2 linked regions of the Nothobranchius furzeri genome follow. The protein of the gene in region 1 interacts with the protein of each later gene in a pairwise test. Links are inferred from orthologs where the notes say so. Each region holds a gene or a part of one and is shown on either strand. Other genes may lie near its edges.

The links. The genes of interacting proteins can lie anywhere in the genome.
Region 2: the proteins of bend7 (region 1) and usp20 interact in binary tests that used the Homo sapiens proteins (3 or more experiments, as listed by UniProt). The two-hybrid records come from large-scale screens. The link is inferred for Nothobranchius furzeri from reciprocal best matches to the Homo sapiens genes BEND7 and USP20.

What each region holds. Positions count from the first base shown.
Region 1 is NC_091744.1:72,598,311-72,606,439, reverse strand, and holds bend7 (BEN domain-containing protein 7), read left to right. Parts: upstream 1-2,912; 5' UTR 2,913-3,670; coding exon 3,671-3,734; intron 3,735-4,208; coding exon 4,209-4,277; intron 4,278-4,351; coding exon 4,352-4,693; intron 4,694-4,843; coding exon 4,844-4,963; intron 4,964-5,045; coding exon 5,046-5,371; intron 5,372-5,751; coding exon 5,752-5,859; intron 5,860-5,931; coding exon 5,932-6,049; intron 6,050-6,128; coding exon 6,129-6,242; intron 6,243-6,318; coding exon 6,319-6,360; intron 6,361-6,757; coding exon 6,758-6,816; 3' UTR 6,817-7,940; downstream 7,941-8,129. Other genes in the region: prpf18 (pre-mRNA-splicing factor 18), read right to left, coding at 251-352, 1,492-1,518, 1,815-1,892, 2,412-2,477.
Region 2 is NC_091746.1:62,094,435-62,102,060, forward strand, and holds part of usp20 (ubiquitin carboxyl-terminal hydrolase 20), read right to left. Parts: coding exon 7,545-7,626; intron 6,833-7,544; coding exon 6,763-6,832; intron 6,660-6,762; coding exon 6,546-6,659; intron 6,443-6,545; coding exon 6,364-6,442; intron 6,220-6,363; coding exon 5,712-6,219; intron 5,620-5,711; coding exon 5,470-5,619; intron 4,410-5,469; coding exon 4,297-4,409; intron 4,058-4,296; coding exon 3,885-4,057; intron 1,410-3,884; coding exon 1,315-1,409; intron 1,239-1,314; coding exon 1,205-1,238; intron 1,127-1,204; coding exon 1,081-1,126; intron 1,000-1,080; coding exon 819-999; intron 665-818; coding exon 538-664; intron 456-537; coding exon 286-455; intron 1-285.

The DNA of each region.
Region 1 (8,129 bases):
ACTTTGAGTTGCTGTTTTTTTTTTTGTATGAAAAGTGTTATATAAATAAAGTTGATTTGATCTGATCTGACATCACCCCCTCACCCTCTGAAGCAGGCAAACAAAGGGAGATGTGATAGAAAAAATATCGGTTGTCATTATCAGCCCGGTTTTAATTACCGGACCGATAAAAAAATGACTAACATCGGCCGATACAGATATTGATGTCGATATATTGTCCATACCTACAAGCTGTTTCGAATTTGCTCACCTCCTGTCGGGACAGAGTCATCGGCAGCTTCTCCTCGGTCAATTCCAGCTCCAATACTGGATTAGAAGAAGTAGAGGGTTCATTCTCCTCATTCTTGTCAATCTTAGGGACAAAATGAAAAAACAAACATACCAACATTAATGAAAGACAGTTGAGACAACACTGAAAATGTGTTTTCTTGCAACATTTACATAAATAAATATGTAGAAAAAGTGTTGAAATGAATATGTGCCATCAAACTTGATTCAGCAACATTCACATGTTCATCTTTATGTCATAATGTGGTGTTGCTGTAATCAGATTGATTTCATTAGATGTGGTCTGAACATTGCACATTCTAACACTTGTTGCAGGAAAAACATGTACAGTTCAGTTTAAAACAAAGATGACTGGAAAACAACATCATGCATTAAGGGACTCATGCAATACAGCACTGTCAGGTTGTGGTTTCAGAAGCCCAATCTAAAAAACAAAACAATAAAATGGTGACAAAAGGCCTTCTTAAAACCAAAAACACATGTCTCTTGCTCAAATAAACAAAACACATGAAGAAGAAGAATCACTTCAAGGGTTTAGTGTTTTAAAGCTTTAAAAAACTTGAACAGAATTGCAATTTTTTTATGAAACTTTTGGAATGTGTGGCCAACTAATAACACAAAACAAGAAAACACTTGAACTTGGTCTAAATATTGCAGCTTCTGTCCAAATTAATTTGCAAAATAAAGAGCAGAGCTTTGACTTTGTAGCCCAGTACACCATGCTGAAATCCAGAGAGTGGCTGTGTCCCACTTTAGCTTGCATTTGTTGCTTCCTTTCCTTGTTACCCTGCCTTTCAAAAAAATATTTTAGAACTTCACAAAAACATTATATACTGGGGTTGTTAATAGTATTTCTGGGACAAAACAAAAAATTATAAACTGTTCTGAGAAAGGTTAAAGTGGAGGAAGTGTGTTTAGGTACAGCTCAATAATTTTAAGCAGATAATATGCATTTACTTTGTTGGATTTAAAATAAAAAACTAGTTATTTGGATAAAAATGCCAATTAAGTTTGGCATAAACTGCAAGAACTTGTATTTTCACAACCCTCATCAACTGATGTCCTCCAAGAAAAAAAGTCCCCATCAAATGAAATGCCACTTCATTCTGAGAGGATGCCAAGGAAGCGGAAGCATTTGGGACACTGAGTGTTTATCCTTTCATCATGCAACCTGTTTACTACTTTCACTCAACAATCCCATACCTGGCTCTCGGGAGTCTCTGCCTGAACCTACAGATGCAGGCAGCAGAGGCAGGTCGCAGAAAAACAGCACAGTAAACACAGATACTGATTTAGACCTGCACATTAAGTCCTAGCCTTTTGTTTTTAAGCAAACTGTTCATGTACTGTGTAACAAACTCCACCAAGTTTCATTCAATTGTTGTGCTGAAAGGGATCTTTAACAACTAGTCTTAGGAAAATTCCTAAATTGACAATGACCTAAAGAAAAAAATAATAGGAATACAGTTATTTAGATGTAATGGAGCGTGTTCGAGAAAGTAATGCAAACTGATCTTGACATTAACCTTTAATCCACAGCGTTTGAAGTACTCTTCTTTTTCCTTGCGAGCCAGATCAGCTCTTTTGAAGAATTTTTTGGAGTCCTGTTGAGAAAAAGTTGATTGATATGTTTAATCCTATTGAAAATTCAACCTGTAGGGCAGTTAAAGGAACATAATAACACAGGAACTCCCCAACAAGAAGCTACATGCTAACGTTTGCTCTCTTTCTTATCCAAGAAACAATGTGCAATAACCCACCCGATTTAAAAAAAATCACAATTGACAGAGAACAAGCTAAATAATTCGTTTAGTTTAGAAACACAACACACAATTAATTTGAAATTCAAAGCAACAAGGTAGTAAGACGCGTTACACAAAAATGACTGAAGCACGTTTCAAGATCCGCTTTTTACGTTCAACGTAAAGATCTTACTGACACATTTAAATTTATACATGTAACGTTATTTTCCACGTGTGCAGAGTTCATAAGAGCACCGACGAGAGTAAGAAAAGCAATAATCATGGAAAGTGTTGACTTCAAACTTCCAGCTAACTCAACGCTAGCTAACAAAGCTAAATGTTAGGCTAACAAAAGCAGATTAAAAACCACAAAATACTCACATCAATGAGCTCTTTTTCCTCTAGAAGTTTTCTCTTTCTTGCTATTTCAGCTTTAAGTATATCCATTTCAGAAGAATATTATGAAAATGTCTTCTTTTGCGGATAGCTGAAGAGTGTTGACATCAAATGTAGAAAAAGGTTGACGTCCAGGGCTTAAAAACGGAAACAAAAAATTCAACATAAGAGCCTTAAAAAGTTCATTTCCTTTTTTCAAAATAAAAGACTAACTCCCAAATGCGACACTTCTGGAATGAACAGTTTTATTCTAGAATGAACCTGGTATGAACCTATATGGCTATGTTAAGAAGATTTCATTTACACTAAAAACTTTAAAATTTGAAAAGTATAAAGCTACACTAGTTGTATCAGATTTTCTCAAATTTATAAATTATATATAAACCTATTTGAATTTTCTTAAGATAACACAGTAAAATTAAATGAAAATGTACAGCTGCATCTATTTATATTATTTATGTATAGATGCAGTTGTACATTGTGTGTGTGTGTGTGTGTTTCTGAAAAAAATTGAAACGCTTAAAAATAACAAAAGGAGACGAAATTACATAAAAGCCTCCAAAAGTGTTTCAAATTAGACACATCTCAAAGAAAGACAACAGTAGTGGCATGAAAAAAGACTTAATTGGAGAACATTTAGAGGAAAAATGGTTGGAAAGTAAATGTAAATATCTAGGTATTCCAAACTTTGACAGACAACACTGGATTCCTGTAATACTCAATAGAGTTTGACCTTTTTATGCCACATTAGATATTTTCTGTCACATCATGTTTATGCTGTTAAACAAGTAAATTCTGTTGTGAGCAGCGTTTTAGATCCAGTTTAATTCAAAAAGCCTTTTAAAAAGTTCTGTAGCTCCTTCAACCTGACTGCTTTTGCTTAGATTTCAGTTTGTTGTCCAGTGGCAAAAGCCTTGTGCTCGACCTTTTAAAGGATACCATCAGGTGGCGCAAAGGGATATGTGACGAATTCTTAATAATAAAGTCATTAATGTATTTACATGGCGAAAGGGAAGGACCGCCGTCATGCTGGGAGAGGGGATGCATGTCCACAATTTTTTATTCCTGGAGAATTTTACACCCAAACGTTGGGAAATCTTCCGATGACAAGAATAGGCGAATTTTCTAACTGATTAATGAAGCAGACGGACAGTGATTGTGCTGAGTGAAAAAATAAAAAAAAATACAGATTTTGTCTTGGAGCGAAATCCGACGGCACGACTTGCTGGATATTCCCGTTGAGGATGGAGTTTGGAGAACGGAAGCGGAGAAGGAAATCCCAGAGCTTTAAACTGGTCACGGATGAAGGTAATGCTGCTGAATGAAAGCGAGACCTTAACAAGACGCGCTCATGTGTCTGGGTGTTTGTCTGGCGCCGTGTGCCAGCAGCAGAGACAAAAGCGATGGCCACGACAATACCCAGTCTGTGCATCGATTTTCTATAAATAAATCCCCAAGAGCCAACCTTTCAAACAAGAAAACGAAACAGAAATTCTCCTCACATGGTCCAGGCGTTTAAATTTTTCAAAAAGAAGAATAATTAATCAAAAACGTACACATCTGTTGCGCATTTATGTCATGCGACTCGAAGCTTTTTATATATTATTTTTTGCTACTAAATACCTTTCTCTAAACTACTTCATACCTACAGGTGGTGGTTTGTGCATGGATGGGAGGGGGGCTGGTTTACATCAGAGCACACCAGTCTGCAGACACTTTGCATCACAAGTTTTGCTGCAATTTTTTCTTATTTTGTTATTAAAAAAACAATTTTATGTGCAGATTGTGACCCTTCATATGTTGCAAGTTGCAAGAATGGCAACGAGGGAGCTAATGATGCAGCTGTACCTGGTGGTATTCTGATTATTTTTTTATATATTGCATGACTGCAAAATGATGCTCTAACCACCTTCTGTTAAATGCAGTTTGGCTTGATGAGAGCATGGGGATCAAGAGGCAAATCACGGGTATGATGAGACTTCTGAGTGATAAGACTGGGAGGGCATATCAACAGGTTGGAAGTGAGTCAAACAGCTTGCCTCAGGAGCCCCAGGATAAAGATCTGAACAGCCTGCACCAGACACAAATTCCATCTCCTGCATCACATCGTCACCGCAGCTGGAGCTCTGAGGGGGACCCTGAGCCAGCATCTTCATCCATAGCGAGCCCCACTCTAAACGGTCAAGCCTGTGGTCATAGCACCCTGTCCAAAAGCTCCAGGAGCCTCAGCAGCTTAAAGGACTCAGTCAAACCCAGTAATACAAACGGTAGGGAATCTTTGAATCTCAGGTCATTATATTTTAAAATGTTTGCAAAAACTTCAATTTCCTCTTAAGTTTTTGGTCAACGTCAGCATGAAAGCACATTGGACATGTTAAAGCTGACAGTGACTAAACAAATCAACACTGACTTTGCAGGAGAAGTGCTCCCTCCTGCTGTGCCTGAAATCCCCTGCTGCATGTGTAACTGTAAAGACACCTTAGAGGCTATACTCCAGGAACTGAGAGCAATGAGGAGGCTGATGCAAACTCAAAAAGGTCAGAAAGGAGGAATCTTATACAAAATATATGGACAACCTAAAGGAAATCTTTTATTCTTGTGATTTTTTTTCCTCCATAGCACCATTTGAAAAGAAAGAACAGGCAGGATCACCATGCCAACCTTCCCTTGGTCCAGGTTCCTCTCCTCGGCGTACACCCCAAAAGAGAAGGCCGATCTATAAGGTGGCTCCACTCAGTGTGTACAGCACCAGAAGGGCACCCACATCTTCCTCAGTGCTTAAACCAGTTACTTCTGAGTCCATGAGGAGGGAGGATTGTGAGAAACTAGACTCATCAGCACTCAACATTGGTTTGATTTCCTGTAATGTGTCTGCGCAGCCACCTCAGGTCAGCAACACACACGATCCTCCCCTGAACCAACCAAAGGAGCATCAAGTGTTAGAGGTAACACGCTCAGTGGTGTTGATTAGGGTTCAGTCTGTGGCTAAAATTTGACTGTTGAACTCTTTGGCATTAACTACCTGCAGGACCTAGATCCTCCACTAGAGGACACAATGTATGTTTAGGATTAGGTTTTTGATGAAAGTACAAATCCTGTTTAAGAGGCAGAGTTCTGAGGGAGGGTCTGCTTTTTCTTTCCTTTGCTAAACTCTGATGATAAACTATTTGAAAAGATTTCAGGAAGTTAAATTTTAAAGTTACATTCACAGTACTGGAGCTATAATGCTAAAGGTGGTGATGCCTTCATAAAGACTGCTTTAATCACCTCTCCTGGTTGATAACTTTACCATAATGATTAATATTTCCTTTTCACTCCCTCACAGTCTGACGTTCGTCTTGCAGAGGACTATGATGTTTTCATCTCCAAGGCCCAACTGGACTCCATCCTAGTAAATTATACCCGCTCTGGCAGCTTGCTGTTTCGCAAACTGGTACGCTTCTGGGATTTTAAAAAGCAAAAATTAAACATACTTCTAAGATCAGGAGCTGTGTTTTGTCCTTAGGTGTGTGCCTTCTTTGATGACGCTACTCTGGCCAACTCTCTGCCAAATGGCAAAAGGAAACGTGGGCTCAATGACAACCGTAAGGGTTTGGACCAAAACATTGTGGGTGCAATTAAAGGTAAAACAAGATCAATTCACTCTTTGTTGCTGGCATAATAAAGACAAATGTTCTAATTATTTGAGTGACTTGTGGCCAGTGTTTACAGAAAAATACTGCACCAATCACAGAATAGAGAAGTTGCCAGGGCCTCGAGATTGGGTGCAGATCCTTCAAGACCAGATCAAACTTGCAAGGAGGAGGCTGAAACGAGGTCTGAAGCAGTCATTTGTTTTCTTTAAGTAAAATAAACAAGTTGCATATCGAAAGCTGTTCTATTGGGTCAATAGATGCTGCAGAAGCTGAGGAAAGCTCAACTGGACCATCGACCAGTAAGAACCTCACACAAAACTGCCTACATTTGCACTGGTTCTTCATCTTACATCACCTTTTCATCAGCCCCCCTCAGAGCACATAATGGCTTCACCTCTCCTCACTCCATTGTCACAACACACCCACAAATTGGTGTCTCTGGCTCCCTCATTGGCTCACCAGGCTATGGCATGCTTTCGCGCTGACATTTGACATTTTCATGCAGCTTCCCAAAATGTCAGCTAATTATCTTCACAACGTGCATCGTTTTCACTCTTTCACCTTTACAACGTAGCCACAGCTGTCAAATATCTAAATTCTCTACTTGCCACACATGCTTACATAAAATTCGCTGTTGTTTTGTTTTATAGTTCACAGCATTAAATTATATACTAACAATATTTTCTTCCTATACAGGCTGTGATTATAAGAAACCTGAATGTGACGAACACACACTGAAGAATGTAACGTGTTGATTCAACAGCTGCCTCGGCTGGAGTTCAGCTGATTATTTTTGTCCTCGTTATTTCTCTAACTGTAAGTGTTGGATTATGCCATTTTGCAACTGTTAACTATTAGGTAAAATGGGTAAAAGAAAATAAAAGGGCCAAACGAGAAAGCATCCATCATGAGCAAATATGGTTTACATTGTGTTAAATGAGCAGTCCATGATTGACATCCTTTTGGATCTGGAATTTTGTGCCAGGAAATACTGATGTAATAAAATAAAATAAGTGATTTATTGTTCACGGTTTAAGCAAATGCCTAAAAGGTGTGGAACACTCATTCAATCAATATGTTTGCAGTAGGAATGAATGCCTTATTAGTCGTACTTGGGGTGCACTGATGCACCATTTCCAGGAACTAGAAGTGAGCCACATCACAGCTGAGCTTCAGACGGCATGTTTTGGAGTCTGATTTCCTGAAATTCGGACAGCTAAACAGCTCTACCACTGACTCTGTTTGCTTTGCAACGTTGATTTTTATTTCCATATAAGCCTGGAGGAGTTCTGCTGTGTGGTGAAGTTGCTGATGCTAACAGTTAGCTTCTACTAGCCAATACATTCTCTGCTGTTTCCTGGATGTTAAATAAACAACAGCCTTCCCTGTTGTGGTCAAGATGGGTGAGTCCATGGGTATTTCTCAATGTCAAGGAGCCTGGCCTCGCTTACGAGGACACTGTCCTTCCTTGGGCAAAGGAAACGGTTAAATGGAACAGACTTGCATGACATGACCACAACTTCCACGGCGGTCATGTCTTGTCACGTGATACATGAGGTAACGTTATATTTTATGCGTATGAGTTTCAATATAAACGTATAACAAGCCTTATACTTTTTAAATTGTGTACATATGTAAGCAACTTATACCTGTTAGCAACCGAATCTGCAACTACTATAGGCAACTATATATATATATATATATATATATATATATATATATATATATATATATATATATATGCTATATTCTGGGAAATTTTTGACCAGGGCCAGGCTACAAGGCACCTCCCGTGTATCCTTGCTCAGCTCAGCTAGGATGCCTCGGTAGAACATGAACATTGGAACACACCTTGGCGGTTCCTGATGATGTTTCTCTTAGGCAACCGGGGCAGGACCAAGACGTCAAGTCAAAGTTCCTTCACATTAAGAAACACCCCATGAATGTTTGGTGACAATGTGATGTAGATCTGTCAGTCTTTTCAAATCGTTGAGTTTTCACCATCTAGTTTGCATGCAGGAGCTAGGCATAGAATTTTTTCATGTTCAGCCTGCATCTCAGAGTGGCC
Region 2 (7,626 bases), on another chromosome or scaffold:
GTAAATGGCAGTAAGATAATTATAAAGTGTGTCACCCTGAAACATTTAAAAGCTACACAAGCTGCTTTTTTATGGCTGGATTTTACATTTAAAACTTTATTCTAAGGTAAATGGTCGGTTATGATGACTCCCTTCGGTTGGAGCGCTCTCCATCACACGCTTGGTTTTTCCCTGTGGGGCAGTTCTCGACTGAAAACATAACTGAACTTCTTGTGAACTTCCTGTGTGTGTTGTGTAAATTACACCAGACGCAGTTGTGACCACAGAGAGGTGATTGAGACAGACCTCCGTGCTGACAGAGGAACGTGTGATTGCTGATGGGGCCTGGCTCGGCGAAGGTGTTGAACTTGTTCAGCCATTCTCTGGAGATGTAAAACTGCAGCAGGCTGGGCTCCTTCATGTTGGCCAGAGCCACCACCTTCTGTCTCTCTCGGACCGACTCCTCGCTGCTTTTCCTACGTTAAAACGTCAGAAACACGGTCACACCTAAACAAAGATCCGACGGTTCCCATTTCGATCCGATGCTTTTATGCTCACCTATAAAACAAAACGTAGGCCTCTGCATTCTGCACCACCGTCTCGTGGACTTCTGTCACATACTGGTCATCAAACTCATACCACTGACCGTTAATCACATTCTGACAGTAAGCTATATAATGACCACCTGCACACAAAACAGATGAGAAAATGCAAGAAGATCAGTTTTTCTGCTGACTAAAAACTGATAAGATCAAGCAACTCGTGCAGGTGCTTGGTCAGTGTCTGGTGAACCACAGAGAAACGAAACACAGCTTGTGGGAAATGATGTATTCTCATACTTCCTGCCGTGCCATGATGGCAGATGACTGACAGCAGATCGTAGGTGGTGACTTGAGATGGGCTGTCTTTAGCCAGGAAAGGCTGCATGTCGAGGCCCTCCAGCGGGAACGACACGTGGCTGCTGATCTTGAATGAATACATGATCTCGTGTCGAAAACGCTTCAGGTGAATGCAAAGAATCTATACGAGACACATACTCACGTTCAGTAAAGCTTACTTTTTATCTGCAGGAAGACTGAAATCAAAAGATAAAACACATACCTCAGGGAGTTTTAGCACTTTGCAGTATTTGACCCCATTTCGCAACCTGTTACAGGCAAAAATAATTAATAAAAGAACACAGTGTTCTCATCCGAAGCAAGCCTGGATCGTTGTACATACTCACTTCTTACATCTCTCGCAGCTGTACATGTTGTCTCCTGGAACAGATGACGAACAGAAACGTGAGTTCAAGCACATTGAATGGGGCGAACATCACATTTCAGTTCTGTTCACCTTTCAGCTCATCTGCAGCAAAAAAGGCAGCGAGGCAGTCCTCCAGAGTAACCATGGGCCCCCAAAACCAAGTGGGGATGCATGAGACAACAAACCTGTTTAATGAGACAACAATCAGCACTGCACGCAGAAATCAGACCCAAGGCTTCTGCAAATCAGATGGTTAAACGGTGAAGCAGCCAAGAGTCCAGGTAGCTATTTAAAACTTATTACAACCCGACAGAAGACCGTAAAATGTTGAGCAGGCTGTTGAGTTCCAGTTTAAGCAGAACAAAAGCTTTTCAATTCATGGGGAAAAAAGTTTTTTTAAAGTACAAAAGTTCATTTCCATCAGCTGCAAACAGAGCACCAGAGCTGGAACAACTTTTAATTGTATAAAACCAAGTTCTCTCATTTTTCAGTACATTAATGGTGGTCTAAATGAGCGCTTTGTTAGTCGATCTCAGAGGTAAAAAAGCTCTGGCTCTCCTGTTTCAGGAACTAGAAGTGATCCAGAGAGTGGAGCAGAAGACGGCAGGACTTCCTGATATTTGGACATCTCTTCTTTGATTGGCTAACAGCAACGACTCTACCACTGACTCCATTTGCGCTGCAACGTTGATGTTTCATCTCCACAAATAACACAAGCCTGGAGTTCTGCTGTGTTGCTAATGCTAATGGTTGGCTTCTGCTAGCTAAGACGTTCTCTGCTGTTTCCTGAATGCTAAACCAACGACAGCACTTCCCCGTCGTGAGTCAAGATGGGTGAGACCCTAACTAAAGTCCTGAAGTTCGGCATGACTCACCTATGATGACATTTTCTAAAGTTGCAAGCTACTGAATAATAACTAGTTACAACTTGATGGTCTCTGCTCCAACACCTAACATGACAAATCTGAGGCGGCTGGTACAAGAAAGATTCTTGGTGAGGCAGATGTGCTAATAATAATCAGCTAGCTCATCAGCGAAAGCAAAGAAATGAACAGTTGGGAAATGACGACAAGTGCACAATAACTAAATGACAGTAAGGCTGTTAAAGACGCACGCGGCTCAGTTCATCAGCCTGACGAAGTCCGCAGCCGCAAACGAAACGTTGCAGGTAAATAAAACCGTTCTGTGTTTTAAAAAGAACTAAAAGATGGAATTAGAATTTCAACACAGCAACAACACACCAACGGTGGTTAGCTTCCGTTAGCTCAGCAGGCTAACTGGAGCTAATCTAATTTAGCCTAGTGAACTAGACCAAATTCTTGCTTTGCAAAGTTTGGTCTAGGCATGCTCCATTGGAACCTCAGCAGCTCCTACCAGGACTCTGGCTAGCCAATCACAGCTCTCTAGAGGGGTTTCAAACACATAAAGAGCTGTGATTTGGTCCATAATGGTGGGCCAATCATAGTGCTCTATCTGCTTGGTGAACAAATCACAGAGCTTTGTCCGCTTTGTGGGCCAATCAGGGCACTCTATATGCCTGGTGGGTGGGATGATGCAACAGAGTGAAACAAGAGTATGTCACAGTCATTGTCCAGTAGAATGCGGAGATCATTTGAAAGACAACGGTAGAACCTGCCCCACAACTGAGAGCTGTCAATGGAGTGTGGCCACACTAAATAATACATTTATTTAGTCTGGCTTGCCAGGCTAAATCTAATTCATAGCGTCTTTAATTCACCACAAACATTGCAGATCATCATAATTGATGTTTGTTAAATGAACACACACAACTTTTTTCTCCCCCACATTTGAGGGTGGAACTCCAGCGCCACCTATGGATGAGCTGCAGCCGTGACAAATGCAAGGGAAAGTCTCAATTAGTACATCATTGATTTAAAATAAAGGGAAATCTACTCACTGATGTCATAAAACTGTTTTCATCACAAACTGACGATGATGATAAACCACCACCCAGCATAGATAATGAATGCATTTTCTTCTCATTGCCTTGGACAATTATTTTCCTCAACTGTTTAACCATAATCCCAACACTATTCAAGGTTGGCCCTGAAAAACTAAACTCAGACTATTTTAAAGCAGCCGGCTTAAACTCAAATTCAGCTGCAACGCCTAAATATTTAAAAGGAGTCTGGGTTTCACGATGACCGGCTACATTTGGCCGTTTCCTGTAAATAAAAAAGTGATGCGTCATTGCTGATGTGATGAGTCTATTGCAGGGTAATCATACAGACGCCTTAAAAACAAAAGAAAGGTAAGCACATGAGAAAACTGAAAAGAGCGCAAGGCTGCATTTGTTGCCTCTAAAGTTTAGGCAGAGCTACCTGCATGTCCTCACCTGCATTTACCTGTAGTACATTTTCCCAAAACAGCTGCATTCAACGCACGGGATGATCACTTACTTGGAATTCCAAATGTGGTCGACTTCCAGAAAAATGAAGCGAACTTTTACGAATAAATAGGGAGAACATGACAACTCAAGATGCTACTTGCCCACATTCATAGTGAAACACAAACCCTGCAGTCCTGTTTTTCTAACCTGCATCTGGCAATAAAACAAAAACCCTTCACGTGTTTTCATCATCATTTCATAGTTTACTGCGCGTGCGACTACCACTTTAAACAGAATGTGCTTCACTGACCGGCGTATGGAGTCCATGATGTAAGCGATCCAGCCCTGTGAGCCGTAGGTGTCGGGGCAGACGCCGGTCTTCATTGGCAGGTTCTGATGGATGGAGGAATGCAGCTTCGCCAAGTCTTCCTTGCCCGGAATGGGCAGGGATAGGTCCTGGAAGGTCTCTACCGTGGTGGAAACCTGTCACACATCCACAGAGCTGAATCACAACGCATGAGACGGTGTCATTAGAAAGATAAAATGTTAACCTGCAACATTTTTATTCATTTCATAACAGCTATTATTTCTCTCAAATGAAAAAGCACAAGTCAAATTTCTATCTATATAAAATGTCTTCATCTGTGATTACGCAGAACATTTCTGAGTTGGATTACGTGAGGAGCTCCCCCTGGTGTTGTAACACATGAAGCACATCTTACCCTGTCACAGGTTAAACACTGGACCAGACTGAGGATGGAGCCGTCAAAGATGTCTGAGATTACGCTGCGATAGTGAGACTGCTTCTTCTTCCTGGAACTGAGCAGCAGCTGAGCTGGAAGACACGAAGGAGACAGACTCAACCAACAACGCCATCAGCCAGAGTCTCAAGCAGATCTAATCGTATAACGACATCACAGTTTTTCTTCGTTTACAGACATAAATCGTTAGGACTCTTCCACTTACGGGAGACAAATACTCAGTAGTTACTGAAACAACACAAAGACTTGTGGTTGAACAGAAACAGTTACAAGATGCCCCTTAGCTTATCTTTTCTATTGGAGTACCATAATATTTACTTAAGTCGGTTTCATTAGTTTTTTTATTCTTATTCTGATGAACCTAAATTCAACAGAAATTAGATTTTCATCAGTTGAATTTTAATTATTATTATTATCAGTTTCAAGTTACGTCTAAGTCTTCTGCAGGTTTTTCTGTATTTAAATCAACACTAAAGAGATTTTAACACCATTTTCAAACTGGGTTCAGAGATTCTTGAGGCAGAAACATGAGCAACTTCACACTGAACAGCACTGTAACCCTCTGCTGAGCAGAACAGTTTCGTGGTTTGGGCAGGAACACTTGTCAGAGGTCTCTGCCTGCTTTACGGCAATAGCTGTTTACTGTGCCAGTAGCTAATATAACGGCTAACAGCTAGCTTATTCGGTTCGCTGACTGTTGGTAAAAAGTGGAAGAAGAAGAATTTTGCTTTTTTGTTGGCATCATGGAAGTAAAAGTAAGAGAGTAATGTCTACGGAGGCAAAACAAAGAGCTAAAACCAGAGTGAACATCGGCAGAGCCTTGAAGGAGCAGCTGGAGGAAGGAACGTTAAACTTATTAAGTGTTGTTTAAACTTTTTTGTTCCACGTCTGAATAAAACATCACAGTTAAGTCTTCATTTCACCCTCAACTAACAGGTGAATAAATTCTTCTGCTTCAGGCAATGCTAATGAACCACAGTCAATCTGAACTGATTCTGTCACCTGCAGCTTAAACAAGAAGGATAAAGTTCAACAGCTTTTATGGCTGCTCTGCCCATAATTTGTTTTGGCGGGTGAAATATGCACAGGTGTGAAGGTGTAAAACAGAAACCCCAGAAGTAGCTGATCAGGCACCCTTTTTGAAGGAGTATGCAGGTCCAGCTGAGCGGAGGGGGCTGGAGCGTGGTGGACTGGATGACAGTTTGGGATGCAGCTCCTGGAGAGTCCGTACCGGACTGCAGGGACTGGACTGCGGTTGGGGCATTGATGCTTCATTATCTGGTTCTAGAATCACACGTCATATTACGTACACGCAGTTTAACGTTACAATTTAGAAAAGAAAGAAGCTAAACGTAACACTCCTGCTGGTCTTCTACCTGAGGTACTGTTGCTCTGGACTTGCCCTGAAGCAGATGTCTGGTTATTTTCCTGACTTTGGACTTCGGTGTGTGCATCTGGAGCTGACTGCTCCTCCTCTGTCCTCCAAGGAGCCTGCTCCTCAGCTGATGTGTCCACATCCGCATCTTCATCCATCTCCTGTGAGCCTCCACGCAGCGGTGAGCCAGACATCCTCTTCTCCTTCAGCCTCTCCTTCTCCGAGATCACCGCTGGAGAGACGATTCCGGCCATCCCCATGGACGGGGGCCTGAACCCGTCACACTCGTCCTGCAGGAGCAGCTCGCCGTCGCCCAGCCCTCCACTCTCCCCCCGGTCACTGCTGGAGCCGGAGTCACAGGACAGAAATTCATCTTCGGATGGAGAGCGGTCCCCGTCTCTCCTCTCCTCCCCGTCGCTTCCCTCGACACTCAGGCTGCACTCAGTCAGCGGCTCTTTCAGCTCCTCGTGTAACTGGTCCATCAGACAGCGTAGGAACTCCTGAGTGTCCTAGAGCAACACGAGATTATTTCATTTAAAAATATGACCAAAAAGAGGATCAGGGACGTTTCTGCTGTAAAAATGAAACAAATCTAATTGAAACATTTACATTTCCACTGTCAGGTGGTTAGCAGGTACGTACTGAGCGCTTACCTGCTGGGCATAACCTCGAAACATGGGGTTTACTAATTTGATGCCATGAGACAGGCTGGTGGGAACAACATAACTGGGCCTGAGGGAGAAGTCAGAGGAGAGTTTGAAATAAATATATAATATATATTAATAAATCATCTTATATATGTAAAACTGAATAGCCTCAGGTGAGTGTTTGATACCGTTTCTTATGCCAGAGTTCTGAGATCAGTTTCTGGTAGCTTTTACACAGAGCCGGCTTCTTATCGGTCCGGACCAACCCGCTACAGTCCAGGAAAAACTGAGTGAGAGGAGGACTGGTGGAGAGAGAACGACAAACCGCATCAATACAGCTGCTTTAGGGACAAACACAAGAGGAGCTGACACATCCCCACTGACAGAGGGAGAGGGTGAACTCACCAGTTGGACAGGGCCTGAAGAGCAGCATTCATGTAGCAGGAATTCCCAATGTTTTTCATGCCTGTCAAACCTAAAAGCAACAAAAACAAGACCCACAAAGGTCTGGGATGACTTCTTCATACATTAAGATGCAGAAATCAGAAGATTCAACTACTGCGTTAAATTAGGGGCTTGTAAGTAAAACTCTAAAGGCTGGTTTCCACTTTTCCGTCGACACATTGGTGCCCGCACACACTGACGGAGATGTTTTTCTTCCACACGTCTCCGTTGGTGTCAGTGTTGTGAAACAATTCTCTGCCAAGACAGCAGAGGGCGTAGCACTTTCCTGTGGTATCCCGCCATCGTTGCAGTCACATCTCTAGCGTGTTTACTATTGTGTGTTTACATTGCGTTTCTGTATTTCAGAGACATTTTTACTCTGAAGAATTTGCCCCTCATTGTCCTCCACCTCTTCATGTGGTCGCCACCTCTAAACTCAAACTTCCTGTAATTTCCTGACACAAATTAAAAGTCTGCTGCGTTCTTGTTCTGCCACGGTTGTATTAACATTAATATCGTTGGACTTTTGTCGCGAGGCGTTCTTTAAGCTGCTCCGTGTCTGCAACTAGATGTCTTTGGCTCTCGTTTTATTTTATTTTTGAGAGGGGATGGCAGTGTTTTTGATTAAGTTAAAGGAAGCGGCGACCTGACAAATCAGTCTTGAAGTCTATCGCTTTTAATGGATATTTAGGAAATTGGGCTCCACTCGGTCATCCTTGCAAACTCCTTTTATTATTCTGTACCTCTGGGTTTAAGCTCATCCTCCTCTGATTCTGACCCTTCTTCCGCCACAGCGATTGGTACTGCTTTCAGTGGGTGACTTGC